Caenorhabditis elegans: one gene and its partners. The protein of the gene in region 3 purifies or fractionates together with the protein of the main gene of each other region. This does not show direct contact. Each region holds a gene or a part of one and is shown on either strand. Other genes may lie near its edges.

Region 1 (3,990 bases), on a different chromosome or scaffold from region 3:
AAAATAAATGAATTCCCTATGAAAATTCAAAATCTTACATGAAAACAATTTGATTAATTGCAACATCGGTATGGAAAGCATATTGGTCGGAAATGACACGTGGCGCAGATGCAAGATCGACACTTCCAACGGCTACGACGATTCCTTTGTATCTGAAATCAAAAATAAATATTCGTTGTGAATTATAAAATCGTTATTCAGTTTTCAGCATTCATATCATTATACAAAAAAATGTTTTTCTTGAGAATAACGAATAAAAATTAAAAATTAACACTCTTTGTATATTTTAACTCATCAACTTACTCTTTTCTATACTTTCCGACAGTATTTTGAGCAATCCAATCACATGCTTCTTCCATTGCAGCTTTTCCAGACATGTGATAAGGTAAGGAGATATGACGTGGCATCACTTTTTGAACGAGTTGACCTCCTTTTCCCTTTCCGCGCATCTTTTTGATTAGTTTGAGTCCATCTTCATAATTCATGAAAAATTGTTCTTTGAAACTTTTCTTTGATGTTTTAATGTTTGCTCCAAGAGTTCTCAATCGATATTCTTTCTTCTCCTTTTTATCCTTTGGTGCTTCACTTTCTGTTTCCTGGACTTCTGTAGTTCCATCCTCGTTCTCGATAAACTTTTTCTTTCCCATTTTTACAATTCTGTAAAGATTGGTAAACATTTGATATGAAATAATTAACGAAACAGGTAAACATTTTCGGCTCGAAAACCAGTGCATAAAAACAAATACAGTAGACACGAAAAATGCTTTTAGCTTCATATAAAGAATAGTCAAAATCTGAATGGAATATTAGGCCAGAGCTGAGGATTTTGTGAATATTCGGATTCAAACTTCATTGCCAATGTACTTTCCATTGCTAGAATCTTTGTCGCTGATTCTCCGTAATCTTTTTTCGCTTTCTCTCTTTTTGCTATGAATTCGGCGCTGGCGTTTCGGTGATCCGTTGATTGCTCTATACGCCCACGTATACTAACTAAAAATGCCCATTAAAATTTATCAAACCGTTAAATAAACCAATTTTCTTACTTTTATCAACGTTAACGTATTCCTCTTGACTTTTTGAACTTGATTGCCCTTCTTTCCGTTTTTCTGCCGCTCTTTGTTCTTTTACTGAAATAAACAAAGTTATTTAAAACAAATATTCGTCTAATTCCGATTAAACTTACACTTTTGACGATGTTCTTGTGTTTTTGCAAAAAATGCTTTCATCTCTTCACTCATTTCTTCAATATCTGATTCTTCATTCTCAATTTCACTATATATTTCACACCGAGAAAGTCTTTCGATCACTTCCGGCTCTTCAGAGTCACTAAAACATTGTTCAGTCGAAAGATTATCTCTCTGGACCATTTGCATTTGAACTGAAAATATACAACATTTTAAGAACAGAAGCTAACCAATTACCTTGACGTGATGCATCTGTATGTTGCTTTATCCATTGATTCGAAAAGTCATAGTGTCTCCAGAAATGATTGAATGCAGGATCTCTTGCCCAATCATTGTGTTTCAGAAAATTATTCATTTTAAATAATTAAAAGTATTAAATAAATAAGTTTTTTTCGAAAAGAAATTAACAATATTTATTTCCCGAGAGGATTACACAAAACGTGGCCGAAGTTTCACAAAAATTCGGCCGCGTTATTTCGGAGCGTCGTTGTGTGAGAAAAATGGCGGAGTTTTTTACGATTTAAAATTATAAGTTAAAACATTTTCTCTTCAATATTTATTTTGAAATTAATTTTTCAGATTACACATAAAATGTCAAATGTTGAGTCGCCGACAGTGAGATACGAGTTGCCGAGTGTTTCTGCAGAGGTAATTATATATTTGTTGTATTATTTATTAGAAATTGTTTCACTCGACTTTTATTTTTCCTTTATGCTGCAACTTTTTTCGAACGAGGGACGAGGCAAAAAGGTTTCTAGGCCATGACCGAGTCCCCGACAAATTTCAGCGGCCATTTATCTTGCTTTGTTTTCTGCGTGTTTTCTTTCGTTTTTCACCGATTTTTTCCGTTTTTTCTTATCAAAACTAATAAATAAATATTTTTTGCAGATGCTAAAACAATTTCCAAGTGAAAAAATTGTGAATTCAGTCGGCAAGTAGCGGTAAAAGTGGTCACTGTAATATGATGGATTACGGGAATAAAAAACCCAAACTTTTTCCCAAACATGATACATATGCTGTTTGGATGCTAAAAGTACCTGATTTTCATAACGAGACCGCTGAAAAAGTTTTGAGATTTTCATAATTCAACATTTTGTGCCAAAATCTCGACTTTTTCACAAAAAAAGTTGAATTTTGAAAATCTCAAAACTTTTTCAGCGGTCTCGTTATGATAATCAGGTACTTTTAGCATCTAAACAGCATATGTGTCATGTTTGGGAAAAAGTTTGGGTTTTTTATTCCCGTAATCCATCATATTACATTGACCACTTTTACCGCTACTTGCCGACTGAATTCACAATTTTTTCATCTGGAAATTATTTTAGCATTAACAAAAATATTTATTTATCAGTTTTAATAAGAAATCACGGGAAAAATCGGTGAAAAACACAAGAAAACAAAGCAAGTACAAAATGTCGTAAAATGCGGTGTATTGTGTGCAAACACCGATTTTTCGCATTTTTTCTCGGTCCTCGTTCGAAAAAAGTTGCATAATTATGCCCAAGAAAACAAATATAGATATTATTTTGAAAAATTCAATCAATATTTGAACACATAATCAAAAAACAAAAATCGTTCCCTAAATGAATTTCAAGACATTATCGATCTGATTCTAATTCTTCAAATTTCAAATTCAAATTTTTCTTCAAATTTACAGGCCAATTTGGAATCAAACCTCGGTCCAACCGGTAAACGACTCGATTATATAACATGGCATCAACATCACATGTATATGGCAAGAATGCTGAGTGAAATGAGTACAGTAAAACGACCCGATGGATGCTACATCGTAGATCAAGAACACTACCAAATTGTGTCTGGATACGCAGGAGGTACTGTAGAATTATAAAAATGTTTAAATAATATTAATTCATGTTATTGCAGAGCTTCTTCCGTCAAATTCCAATGTATGCAACTGTGGAATATCAGTTGCACTTCAAAAATTGGAAAATAAATCCCACAACGGAATGGATTGTATCATATACACCTCAAGTTTTCCCGATTGTAGTCACTGTTTGGAGAAGATTTTGAATTTGAAAATATCGAAAATTTGGCACTGGAACTCGCCGACAACAACAAAAGAATTAAAAATTCTCGAGATGCTTGAAGCCAGTTCGATTCAATGTGAAAAGTATACCCCAACTCGAACGATTTCTATCAACTTTAACAATTGACTTTCAAAAATGCAATGCTCAAATTTTTTTTATTAATTTTCAAACAAAAAACATTTTCAAGAATAACATGACATTATCAGTGTAATAAATAAAGGCATTTCTCTGTAAAAGTGTGTCAAGGCGATGTGAGTTGGTGGGTGGAAGTTTGTAGTAAAGAGAGTTACAAAAAATTGTTCATGTAAAGAATTTTCAGGTTCAGGTTCCAGCACACCGGTAATAACAAGAATTTTTGAAAGAGTATGAAATATCCAGTATTCTAAATGTTGTCTAACACTCCATGGTTGCCATTTTCTCACGCCTTCTCGCCAACGCAGCTTCCAAATCATTTTTCGCCGGGGCCATAGGTGAAGCTGATTGCAATTTTGTTGTGTCAGATCTCTTCGGAGGCGGTGGAGGTGCTTTCTTAGAAGTTAATGGAGTACAAGGCTTTGGTGGAGTCACTGGTGGCGGCATTCTCATCACAGAGGCAACTGGAGGTGGCGCTGGAAACTCTTCGTCCGAATCCGATTCTTCTTGGGCTGAAATAATATTTTATGGGGGAAATTCTAAATAAAAAACAACTTACGAATCGTTGGGGACGAGGTGGAAGCTCTTGATACTCGACGGAGCACATCTAGAGGTGCTCTTTTGAT
Region 2 (5,794 bases), on a different chromosome or scaffold from region 3:
ATTGAATTTTAAGTCTAATTTTGTTCCAAAATCCCCAAAATTTCCAGATCCAAGGTCAATGCTTCATGTCAACCGTCAAAGTTCAAGCATCCAATACAGTATGCCCATGGTGTGTAGATGATTCACAAACAACTACTACAACTACAGTAACCCCAGCACCACCATCCACCACGTTTTCTCCATTTTTCGGAACTTCGAACAACACCTCATTGCTCATCGGAATGCTCATTCTTGCGTTTTTCTCTTTGCTGGCTCTCACATCGACTACCGTACTCCTCTGTGTGTATATTAGTGATCGAAAGAAGCCTGAGTTCTTTGATATGCCATTGCCACAGGCAAATAGTACTGTACTTGGCGGGAGGAGGTAAGGAAATTCACATATTTAGATTCAAAAATCGAAAAAAATCAATTTTCAGTAGCGACACGGGCCTCTTCACCACAAAATCATCATCAGAACGTTGGACAGAATACGGATGTGAACCATGGTCATCATTCCAACCATTTAATATTGATTCAACATATAATCCACCAAGAGAGACGACATGTGTCTATAAAGTTACACATCGGGAGGACGACGAATCAAGTGATTCCGGAAATGCGTCACTATAATAATTTTTTAATTTTTTAAAATTTCTCCCAACAGTTTTCATAAAATTCTAATTTTTTTTGCCACAAAATTTAATCAGATCTCTAATTTGTATTCTTCTTGTGATATAATACTGCTCATTTGATGTATGTTCATCGTAAATTAAACTAAAATTTTTATTTTTTATGATTTATGTAATAAATAAATTACCGGCTCAGTAGCGGTTTTCTTGGCCCAATGATTCGAGGAATAATGGGATAAAAGTTAGGTGTATGCTGGAGTCTCAATGGAGAACTTAAGGGAATTAATAATACTGGGGGGGGGGGGGGGGGGAACTTGGGAAATAATAAAACAATAAAAATATTAGGAATAAAACAGACGGGGAGTTACTTATGAACATGAAAGAATGCAGCCGAATTGGTCCATGGAAATTGTACAGGTGCCGTCGGAGATCACCATACCCGAGCGGGATGTGTGAATTCGTTTCTCGCCTCGCTTCACGTAGCATTTGTCCTTGTCCTGAAAGAAAATTTATTTTTTTCGGTTTATTTTAACTTTTTTTTTCGATTTTATTGATTTTCTGTCAAAAAAATTGCAAAAAAAAGCTGGCTACGGTAATCTTAAAGGCGCACAGCGGAATATTTGCAGTCGGGTCTCATAAGGAAGTTGCTCATCCCCGGCCATGCGCCTTTAAAACTACCGTAGCCCGCCAAACATTTTTGTTAATTGTTTTCAAATGTTTTTCTTCGATTTTCTCGTTTTTCACATAATTTTTCGATTTTAAATCCGATTTTTGTCGAAATTAATAATTTTTCATCAACTTTCAGCAAAAATTCTAAGCCCAGTGCTAGTTTGAACCCAAAACTGCACAAAAAATTGGGTTTCGAACAGATTCAGGCAAATTACAGCAAAAAACTAGATTTTCATTAAAATTTGAAAACTTTTTGACCGTATATATTTTTTTTCTTAATTAAATCAATTTCTTACCTGAATAGCCATATCAATAAAAGCGCTTCTGAGCTGAGCCGTGAGAGTTGTCGCATTGACGGTAAGCTTCACTGGTTTTGCCTCCACATTCACCTCTCCCGATTGAGTGTTGTACTTGAGAAGCATCCCGTTGATATGCACAGTGAGGAGTCCATCCGGGTGCTTTTCGTATTGAGCTTGCTGCATTACAGCTTCGCACTTTTCCATATTCTGAAAGAAAAAAGAATTTAATTCAAGTTGAAAGAATGCTTTAATTTTAACTTACACTTGCTCCAAGATCAGATTCTCCATACATTTGTTGAATGGTATAATCCATATTCATGATCGGAAACTCTGGTTTCTCAAGAACCACCGCCGAAGGTCCAGATTCTTTGGCTCCACTCAAAAGATAGGCTTCTGTGAGTGAGTCCATACTGAATAGAATTCCTTCTGGTCCCATCACAGCCATTCGATCATTTGTATTCAGGAATTTGCAGTGAACATGCTCCTTTTGATGCACAATCTTTGCATATTTGTGAAGAAAACTGCAGACGGCACCATTCGAGTTGATGTAGGCCATGAAATCCGTGTTGCAGACGACACGAAAACTGCGATCCATACACAGTTCGACGATTATTCCGGCGGCCATGGATACCATCACAGTTCCTTCCTGGGAGCAAAGGAGCAGTGGATACTTGACAACACCCTGATCTGTCTTGATTCCTCTAATTGGGACTGAATTGGTTGCAAATGGCAATGGGCTGACCAGTTGGAAGAACTTTAGATTTGGATTCGGAATAGTTCCTGAACAATTTTAAGGTTACTTTTGATCTACTAGAAGACTACAAACTACTCACCTTGCCTAGAAGCAGAAGAATTTTCCTGTTTCCGAGGTGTCGACTTTCTCTGATTCTTCTTTCCACTGTTGTTGCTTCCACTTGACTGTTTCCATCCACTGAATGGAATGTGAGCTGGTGGCGATAAGTCATCGAATACCGAGTTGTTGACTCGTGGAAGACCTCTGCAAATTTTGGAAATTTTGAAAAAAAATTGGTGGTTTTAAGTAGTCTGAGCGGAATTTTGCTTTAAAAATTCCAGAAAATTTGCGAAATGTCTTGAAAAAATCGCATTTCGCCGAATTTGGAAGTTTTATGAGCAAAATTTCAAAAATATGGCCGAGAAACCCAATTTATGACGGCCATCACTCTGTTTTCCAGGATCTGAGGTGCATTTTTTCAGAATTCGCTGCGTGGCCTAGTTTTCGCATTTCACGGCCATGCAGCAATACCTGAATGCCCTTCCGGAAAAAAATAACGTGGCCGCGAAAAAGTTATCGGTGGCCTAGTTTTCTTAAAATTTCCAGATTTACACTTTTTTCTATAACTGTAATTTCTTTAATTTTTCGATAAAGCCGATTTTTCATCCATTTGTGCAGGGATGGCCTAGGTTCCGCATTTCACGGCCACGTGGCAGCCTATACAAAAACTCCAAAAATTTAGATTTCCACGTGGATTCCTGGCTTTTTCTAAAATTTTCCAGTTATTTCGCTATGAAAAAGCCAATTTTTCGGGGTTTTCTTTTCACAAATGGTGAAAAATCTGAGAGCGAAAACGTGGCCGCGAAAAAAGTAATCGGTGGCCGAACTTTCTCATTTCGCGGCCACGTGGCAAAACCTGTATTCCAGCCAGATTTTGAAGAAAATTTCCAGATTTTACTAGCATAAAGTGAAATTTCTTCACAATTTTCTGGGATTTCCTCTTAAAAAAATCCGAAAAAAAAACTAACGGCGGAAGTTCCACAGACATCACAGCGAACGGTGCCGTCGTTTTCTCCGCCATTTTGAGTTGTTGAGATGGAGCTCCCGGAGCAGCTGTTGCACGTCGTTGAGGCGTCACAGAATCTCTGAAACACGGATTTGTCAGCAGAGAGCTCACAATCAAAAAATGCTCCAACTCACCCTTTCTGGTTTCGCAACGTCATTTTGGCTTGCCGGAGATTCGTCGTACTGAATTTTCCGATTTTTTTTCGTCTCTGATTCTCTGAGTTGGACTATGTTACGTTTCGCCACGTGGCGTGCCACGTACCTTTTTTTTTTGTTAAATTTTGTGGATTAATCTTCACGTGCTTTTATTTTTTTTTGGAAAAAATAATTCAAAATTGAAAAAAATCTCGTTTTTCAAATAAAAATTTTGCGCAAAAATTGGGTCTCGTCGCGATTTATCCCTTTAAACTCTAGAAATAAAATTTGAAAATTTTGGGTCTCACCACGAAAATATGCCTACTGAAAATTTTACGAGGTCGTGGGTACGGTAGTTTTAAAGGCGCCAAAATACGGTACCAGGTCTCGACACGATGGATTTGTTTATTGCAAAAATGTGTGCGCCTTTAAAGGATACTGTAGTTTCAAACTTTCATTTTTCTGTTTATTTTTTCATAATAATGTTTTAAATTCATCAAATAAATATAATTTAATCGGAAAACTTTGAAAAATCAATAAAAATTCCTAGGAGTTTGAAACTACAGTACCCTTTAAAGGTGCACACTTTTTTAAATGAGCAAAAATTTGTCGTGTCGAGACCGTGATAAAAAATCGGGTTTTTTGTTGTATTAAAAATTTATTGATTATGAGGACAGAGATGATGACATGAAAAGATTTCAAATCAATAATTAATGCAAAAATTGGGTCTCGTCGCGATTTCTGGAACAGGATGCGCCTTTAAAACTGTGGCAGTGGGTACGGTAGTTTTAAAGGCGCAGATTCAAATTTTCCATTTTTCTCAAATTTTCAATCGCGAAAAGAACCCAATTTTTGTCGAAATTTCAATTTTCTGAAAAGAAAAAAAATGCAAAATAAATTAATAAATTAGTGACAAAATATACAATTATATCAAACTATTTCTACATAAAATTCTAGTCTTTCAAAGCGTCCAATATCCGAAGTCGGGCTTTTTTGCTCACGTGAGCTGCGGCACCGAGTAGAGAAGACAGCTGCTTTGATGAGTATTCCTGCAAAATTTCGGGAAAATAATTTATTAAATTGGAAAAACCCCGTACAGAATGCGTCTTTATCCACTGTTCTAGACCATTTTCCGGCAGATAATAGGCTTTGATGTATCCATCGACGAAACTCGCGTGAGGAACTGGCTTGATTCCGCAGAGGGGCTCCAGCTGAAAAAATACTGGAATTTTTCGGGTCTCGAAACGATTTTTCAATAATATTTTCCTAGTTTTTGGGCGGTAATTGCCCTTCGGCAAATTTTTTGTCGTAGAATTCGGCAAGTTGCCGGTTTGCCGGATGTATTCAATTCCGGCAATTTGCCGGATGTTTTCTATTCCGGAAAATTGCCGGTTTGCCGGGTGTATTCGATTCCGGAAATTTGCCGATTTGCCGATTTGCCGGTAGTTTACCATTCCGACAATTTGCCGATTTGCCGCTTTGCCAAAAGTCTTCAATTCCGGCTATTTTCCTATTTTCCGGAAGTTTACCATTCCGACAATTTGCCGATTTGCCGCTTTGCCGAAAGTCTTCAATTCCGGCAATTTGCCGATTTGTCGCTTTGCCGAAAGTCTTCAATTCGGAAATTTCCCGATTTGCCGCAAGTTTACCATTCCGACAATTTGCCGATTTGCCGATTTGCCGGATGTATTCAATTCCGACAATTCGCCGATTTGCCGGATGTGTTCAATTCCGACAATTCGCCGATTTGCCGGAAGTTTTTAATTTCGACAACTCGCCGCTTTGCCGAAAGTCTTCAATTCCGGCAATTTTCCTATTTGCCGGAAGTTTTTAATTCCGACATTTTGCCCATTTGCCGATTTGCCGGATGTATTCAATTGCGACAATTCGCCGATTTGCCGGAAGTTTTTAATACCGACAATTTGCCGGTTTGTCGGATGTATTCAATTCCGGCAATTTGCCGATTTGCCGGAAGTTTTCAATTCCGGCAATTTGTCGATTTGCCGGAAGTTTTCAATTCCGGCAATTTCCCGGATGTATTCAGTTCCGGCGATTTGTCGATTTGCCGATTTGCCGAAAGTCTTCAATTCCGGCAATTTCCCGATTTGCCGGAAAAAATCATTTGCTGGCCACCTCTGCTCCACCTCTTTCTAAAAAAAAATTTCGGCAAAAATTGTCTCTTTTTTCAAAAAAAAACACGCATTTTAATCAAAATTTCTAACAGAGGTGGATGTTTCCTTTTTCACTAGTTTTTTTCTGGATTTTTTTCCCACAATTCGGATATA
Region 3 (4,320 bases):
ATTCCGGTGATTCAATTTATCGAAAGAAAGTCACCACATTCCGACGACGAAACATAAATGCCCCATTCGGAGTTCGTGTTCCTTTCAGTAGAATGGCCTATAAAGCCGGTTATGGATCAAACAGAATGGGCTATCGGAACACGGGATCCCCGCCACCCCCACAAATAGGTGGCCTCTACGGTGACCGTAATCCGAATCCATATGGCACAGTGAATCTTGGTGGAGGTTCCCCATATCCTGGGGGTCTAGAAGAGTACAATATCCGGCCGGCCGCTCCATTTTCCGGACTGGTCGGAGGAAGTCGATCTGGGTACTACGGGAGCACTGTTGGTATGAGACGGGGTGCCGTTGTGCCGCCTATGAGCTCCAGGAAGACGAAAATTCCACAGACTGAGTATCCACGTAAGTATACGATTTTTCTATGCGCTATAAAATTCTTTAAAATCCGCTATTTTCCAGCTGATTACGCATCTAACGACCTGATGAACAGTTTCAATGGAGCTACAAATTCCGCGATCCCATCACTTCGCGAGCTTGCCACCTATGCGTCACGCTATGGTCCCGCATATCTTCGCGAACGATTCGGAAGCCATGATTCCCAACTTGAGCGTATGCTTTATGGCGGCAGTGGACCACAGATCCCATCACGTGGAGGAGGAATTCCCATAGATTACAACATGAACATTGCTTCGAATCACTGGAACCGAGGAATTGGCTCTCCGATGGGAATTATGTCGCGGGATGTTGATTCCTATCAACACGACGATGCGGCCAAAGCAAACAAAAAGACCACTACCGGCTCGCCGAGCACGACGAGCACACGGAAACCTCGGAAAGCTAGGAAGCCAACCAAGAAGACTGTTGCCGCAGCTCCTTCGTCTAGCTCGAACACATCGACTACGGCAAAGCCTGCAAAAACTGTAAAGACATCGGAGAAGTCTGCCTGAAAACAAGAATAGAATCAATTTTTAAAAATGTACAAAATCAAACGCCCTACAAATCATGTGTGTGAAGAAGAATAATAACTAACATATCTATTTATATTTACCGAATAAATATATATTCATCAATTAACCTGAAGAACAAACGAATTCGGCTACAGGCGTCGATCAGTCTCGAATCTAGTAACAACAAGAGAGCAATACGAAAACCGGTAAATCAATAGGGGGAAGCGAAACAGTAGGTACAAATTGGAGGGGAAGCACCAATACATTAGGTGGGGGGTACGACTTGAAAAATGAGCTGATTTTCGAATAGTTAAAGCGATGATCGTGTCCGAAAAACAGTTCATTTTTCAAGACAACATTGAGACTGGGAGTACGGGGAAGCTCATTTACGGTGAGAGGAATTGGTGAGATCTTTAGAATATGCTTAAGGAGTTGGGGTGGCTGGAGAAGTTCCTGTAGCCTCCGTGCCGGGATTCGATGGAGAAGTCGTTGCGGCTGGTCCCTTTTCCTTCACTGGTGCTGGATCCTTGGCTGGAAGACATATGCGTGGCTTGACAGTCGATGAGGTGCGAGCCGACGAGTCCTTGTGAACTTCGTATCTGGAAATATTTTACTTAGATAGCAAATACTAAAATTGTAAAATTACCTCAAAATCTCAGTATCCGGAATGCTCAATTTCTGCTTCAAAACCTGTCCGATGCGAAGATTGACATCATCGCGAGTAGCATCACGAGTCCACAAGGAAACCTTGTCACCCTTTTGACGAACATTCACGACAGCTCCGCAGATGTAGTCTCCGTACTCGTCGAATTGCTCTCCAACAATAGCCATCAACAGCTCCAACCAGTAGTGATCGAGCAATTGCGTTCTTCTCTGAAGCTTCTATGATTCATTGAATAAAATATATTTCTCAAAACGTACTTGCTTATCGACAACAACCAACCAACGTCCACCTTGAACGTTGTTGACGTCCTCCCACATTGGCTTGATTCCTTCCTTGAACAAGTAATAATCGGATCCCCAGTTCAATCCTCCGGCAGACTGAATGTGATTGTACAGCGACCAGAAGTCCTCGACAGTGTCGAAAAGTGAAACCATCTGGAAAAAATCGATAAAAGACGTATTTAAAAATCTTCTACCTTCAGACAATCCTCCCATTCCTTGTTACGGTCAGCTTTCAAGTACCAGAGAGCCCAGCGATTCTGGAGGGGGTGTCTGGTGAGAAGCTCTGGAGGAACTGAAGCATCGGACGCATTCACATCGCCGGAAGCTGACAATGCTTTGTTTTCCGCTACGGATGTGCTCATTTAGCTGAAAATAGGTAATATTATATACGATTAGAGCTCGGAAAACGATAAAATAGAGAAGAGTATGAATTTGGTTCAAATAACTCGGATTTTATAGGAAATTTTGTTTTACTGCACATTTTCGGCTAGTTTCCAAGCTTTTTAGATTTTTCAAGTGTAATTGGTAACATCGGGCACAATAAATTGATATTAAAGCTTGGAAAACAATAAAACAAAGTAGAAAATGAATTCAGCTCAACTTCGACGAAAAATCATCAAATGATTCGTTTCCCATGAAATTCCTAGTAGTTTTTAAACATTCTAGCTGTTTTTTAATCGTAAAAGTGAAAAAAAAAAGAGCGATTTCCCCGAAAAACCTTGGAAAATGAAGAAATGGAAAGAAAGGCGCGAATCCTGAAATTCAAACACCAGACACACGCAAAACGAGTGTAACCGTAGTTTTTGTCGTTGCGAAGTATCTTGTCTGCGGAATTGCGCCCCCCTTTAAACAAAACAGCGGAAAATATGAAAATTATTTTTGTATTAAAATAAAAATCGAGTTGTTTAGGTAAAATTTTTCAAATTTTATTGAAAATTCGGTAAAATAATGAAATTAATCGCTGAAAACTCGTTATTCGCACAGAAATTGAGCTCTTTCAGGGAATTCAGGCTAAAAAATTATATTTTCAGGTTTAAAATTCAAAAATTTATTTTCCAGATTGCAGTCGATAATCTGAGTTTTCCCAAAAAATGTGCATTGTTTACAGCCTGTGGTTCTCAATTTCTCCAATTTATCCACGAGTGCGTCTCCGTTTTCTTTTCTCCTTCTGCCGCATTCAGCGTCGCCGTCGTCGTCAGGAATTCATGAGCCGTCCCGGTGTCTCGAGCTCTTGTGAGCATACACACAGACACATACAGCAGCAGCCTCCACAACATGCACATATAAATATATCGGTCTGGGTGTTGCTGCTGCTGCCGCTGGGCGCCTTTTCCCTCTCTGTGTGCCTCAACTCGTCGCACATATCTCTCTCTCTCTCTCTCACTTTGCCTTGTTTTCCCTGCCCATCGTCCCGTAAAAAGGTGGCCAGACAGTTCTCCGAATCGCAGAGACGCAGCAAGCGTTGCCCCGAGGCGCCATTCGTCTAACCTACTGCGTCTGACACCCCGCCGTCAGACGACGTCGGGGGCCCTCCGACGACGACTTCTTTCGCTGTATTTCTCTCTCTCCTCCGTCTCCTCCTCCTCTCCACCACATCGATTTTCCCGTTTTAGAGTGTTGGCGGTGAGCCATAGTCACGAATACTTTGTCTATTTTTTCGGCGACGGCTGTTGGGCTTCTCTTCTCTGCGTCTCTCGCACTCTTGTCCGCCTTCTGACCGTCATAATTACCACGTCGTCCACGTAAAGTCTTCGGAGAGCGCCACGCCCCCACACACACATACACACAACATTTTCGTAGCCGCATTATTCTCCTAACAATCATCGTTTTTTGCTAGTTTTCAGTAGTTCCACAGACTTAAAGGAGGATCACCGAAATTCGAGACTTGGCTTTTTGGGACCCAAAATGTTCCAAAACTAATTTCGTAATGAGATGTTCTGAAAATTTCTCAAAAAAAAAAGTTATGACCGCTCGGAAAATGGTATATTTTCAGCTAAAATCTTAAATTTTGACAACTTCTCAGTGTCGCAGCGGTAGGAACTAAATTTTGATGTGATTATCACTTTTTAGTATGTATTTATTTATTTTCATTTCCACTCACACACGCGAAGCCCACAGCATTTGAAATTCTATAGTTTGTTTGCAGAATAGAGGTGTGCGGCACAAAAAGTTTACTGGAAAAAAGTAAACTTTTTTTGCGGCAAAAAAGAGTCGGAAGCTCAATTTTTTCAGACTCTTCTTATATATTTCGACAAAATAATTATGTTATCATTTCCTATTTAAGCGTCTTAAATTGTTCGCATAACAATGAGGAATTCCACGTTATATGGAAACGCTGTAAAAAGATCTCTGGTGAAATCGCGCTCCACGAGCTATTGAAAACGCTCCAAAAAACGAAAACTAGTTTTTTTTTTAATTTTTAAGTTCT

Evidence for each region.
Region 1: the proteins of ife-3 (region 3) and F10E9.5 purify together in Caenorhabditis elegans (affinity purification with mass spectrometry, with the first as the bait; one large-scale study listed by BioGRID). This does not show direct contact.
Region 2: the proteins of ife-3 (region 3) and C44B9.2 purify together in Caenorhabditis elegans (affinity purification with mass spectrometry, with the first as the bait; one large-scale study listed by BioGRID). This does not show direct contact.

The regions. Positions count from the first base shown.
Region 1 is NC_003281.10:8,305,207-8,309,196, reverse strand, and holds F10E9.5 (uncharacterized protein), read right to left. Parts: upstream 1,606-3,990; 5' UTR 1,540-1,605; coding exon 1,422-1,539; intron 1,379-1,421; coding exon 1,184-1,378; intron 1,128-1,183; coding exon 1,044-1,127; intron 991-1,043; coding exon 788-990; 3' UTR 749-787; downstream 1-748. Other genes in the region: F10E9.4 (uncharacterized protein), read right to left, coding at 39-152, 304-647; F10E9.7 (uncharacterized protein), read left to right, coding at 2,911-3,016, 3,069-3,358; mig-10 (Abnormal cell migration protein 10), read right to left, coding at 3,626-3,876, 3,924-3,990.
Region 2 is NC_003281.10:10,873,197-10,878,990, reverse strand, and holds C44B9.2 (Lgl_C domain-containing protein), read right to left. Parts: upstream 3,560-5,794; 5' UTR 3,533-3,559; coding exon 3,510-3,532; intron 3,455-3,509; coding exon 3,338-3,454; intron 2,574-3,337; coding exon 2,410-2,573; intron 2,357-2,409; coding exon 1,839-2,356; intron 1,784-1,838; coding exon 1,574-1,783; intron 1,106-1,573; coding exon 977-1,105; 3' UTR 749-976; downstream 1-748. Other genes in the region: C44B9.3 (C2 domain-containing protein), read left to right, coding at 48-364, 417-609; vps-50 (Vps54_N domain-containing protein), read right to left, coding at 4,463-4,720.
Region 3 is NC_003283.11:5,565-9,884, forward strand, and holds ife-3 (Eukaryotic translation initiation factor 4E-3), read right to left. Parts: upstream 2,266-4,320; 5' UTR 2,255-2,265; coding exon 2,087-2,254; intron 2,046-2,086; coding exon 1,869-2,045; intron 1,830-1,868; coding exon 1,594-1,829; intron 1,547-1,593; coding exon 1,372-1,546; 3' UTR 1,024-1,371; downstream 1-1,023. Other genes in the region: idpp-2 (Intrinsically Disordered Protein, expressed in Pharynx), read left to right, coding at 1-402, 460-947; B0348.10 (uncharacterized protein), read right to left, coding at 3,011-3,175. UniProt on the Caenorhabditis elegans protein: Recognizes and binds the 7-methylguanosine-containing mRNA cap during an early step in the initiation of protein synthesis and facilitates ribosome binding by inducing the unwinding of the mRNAs secondary structures.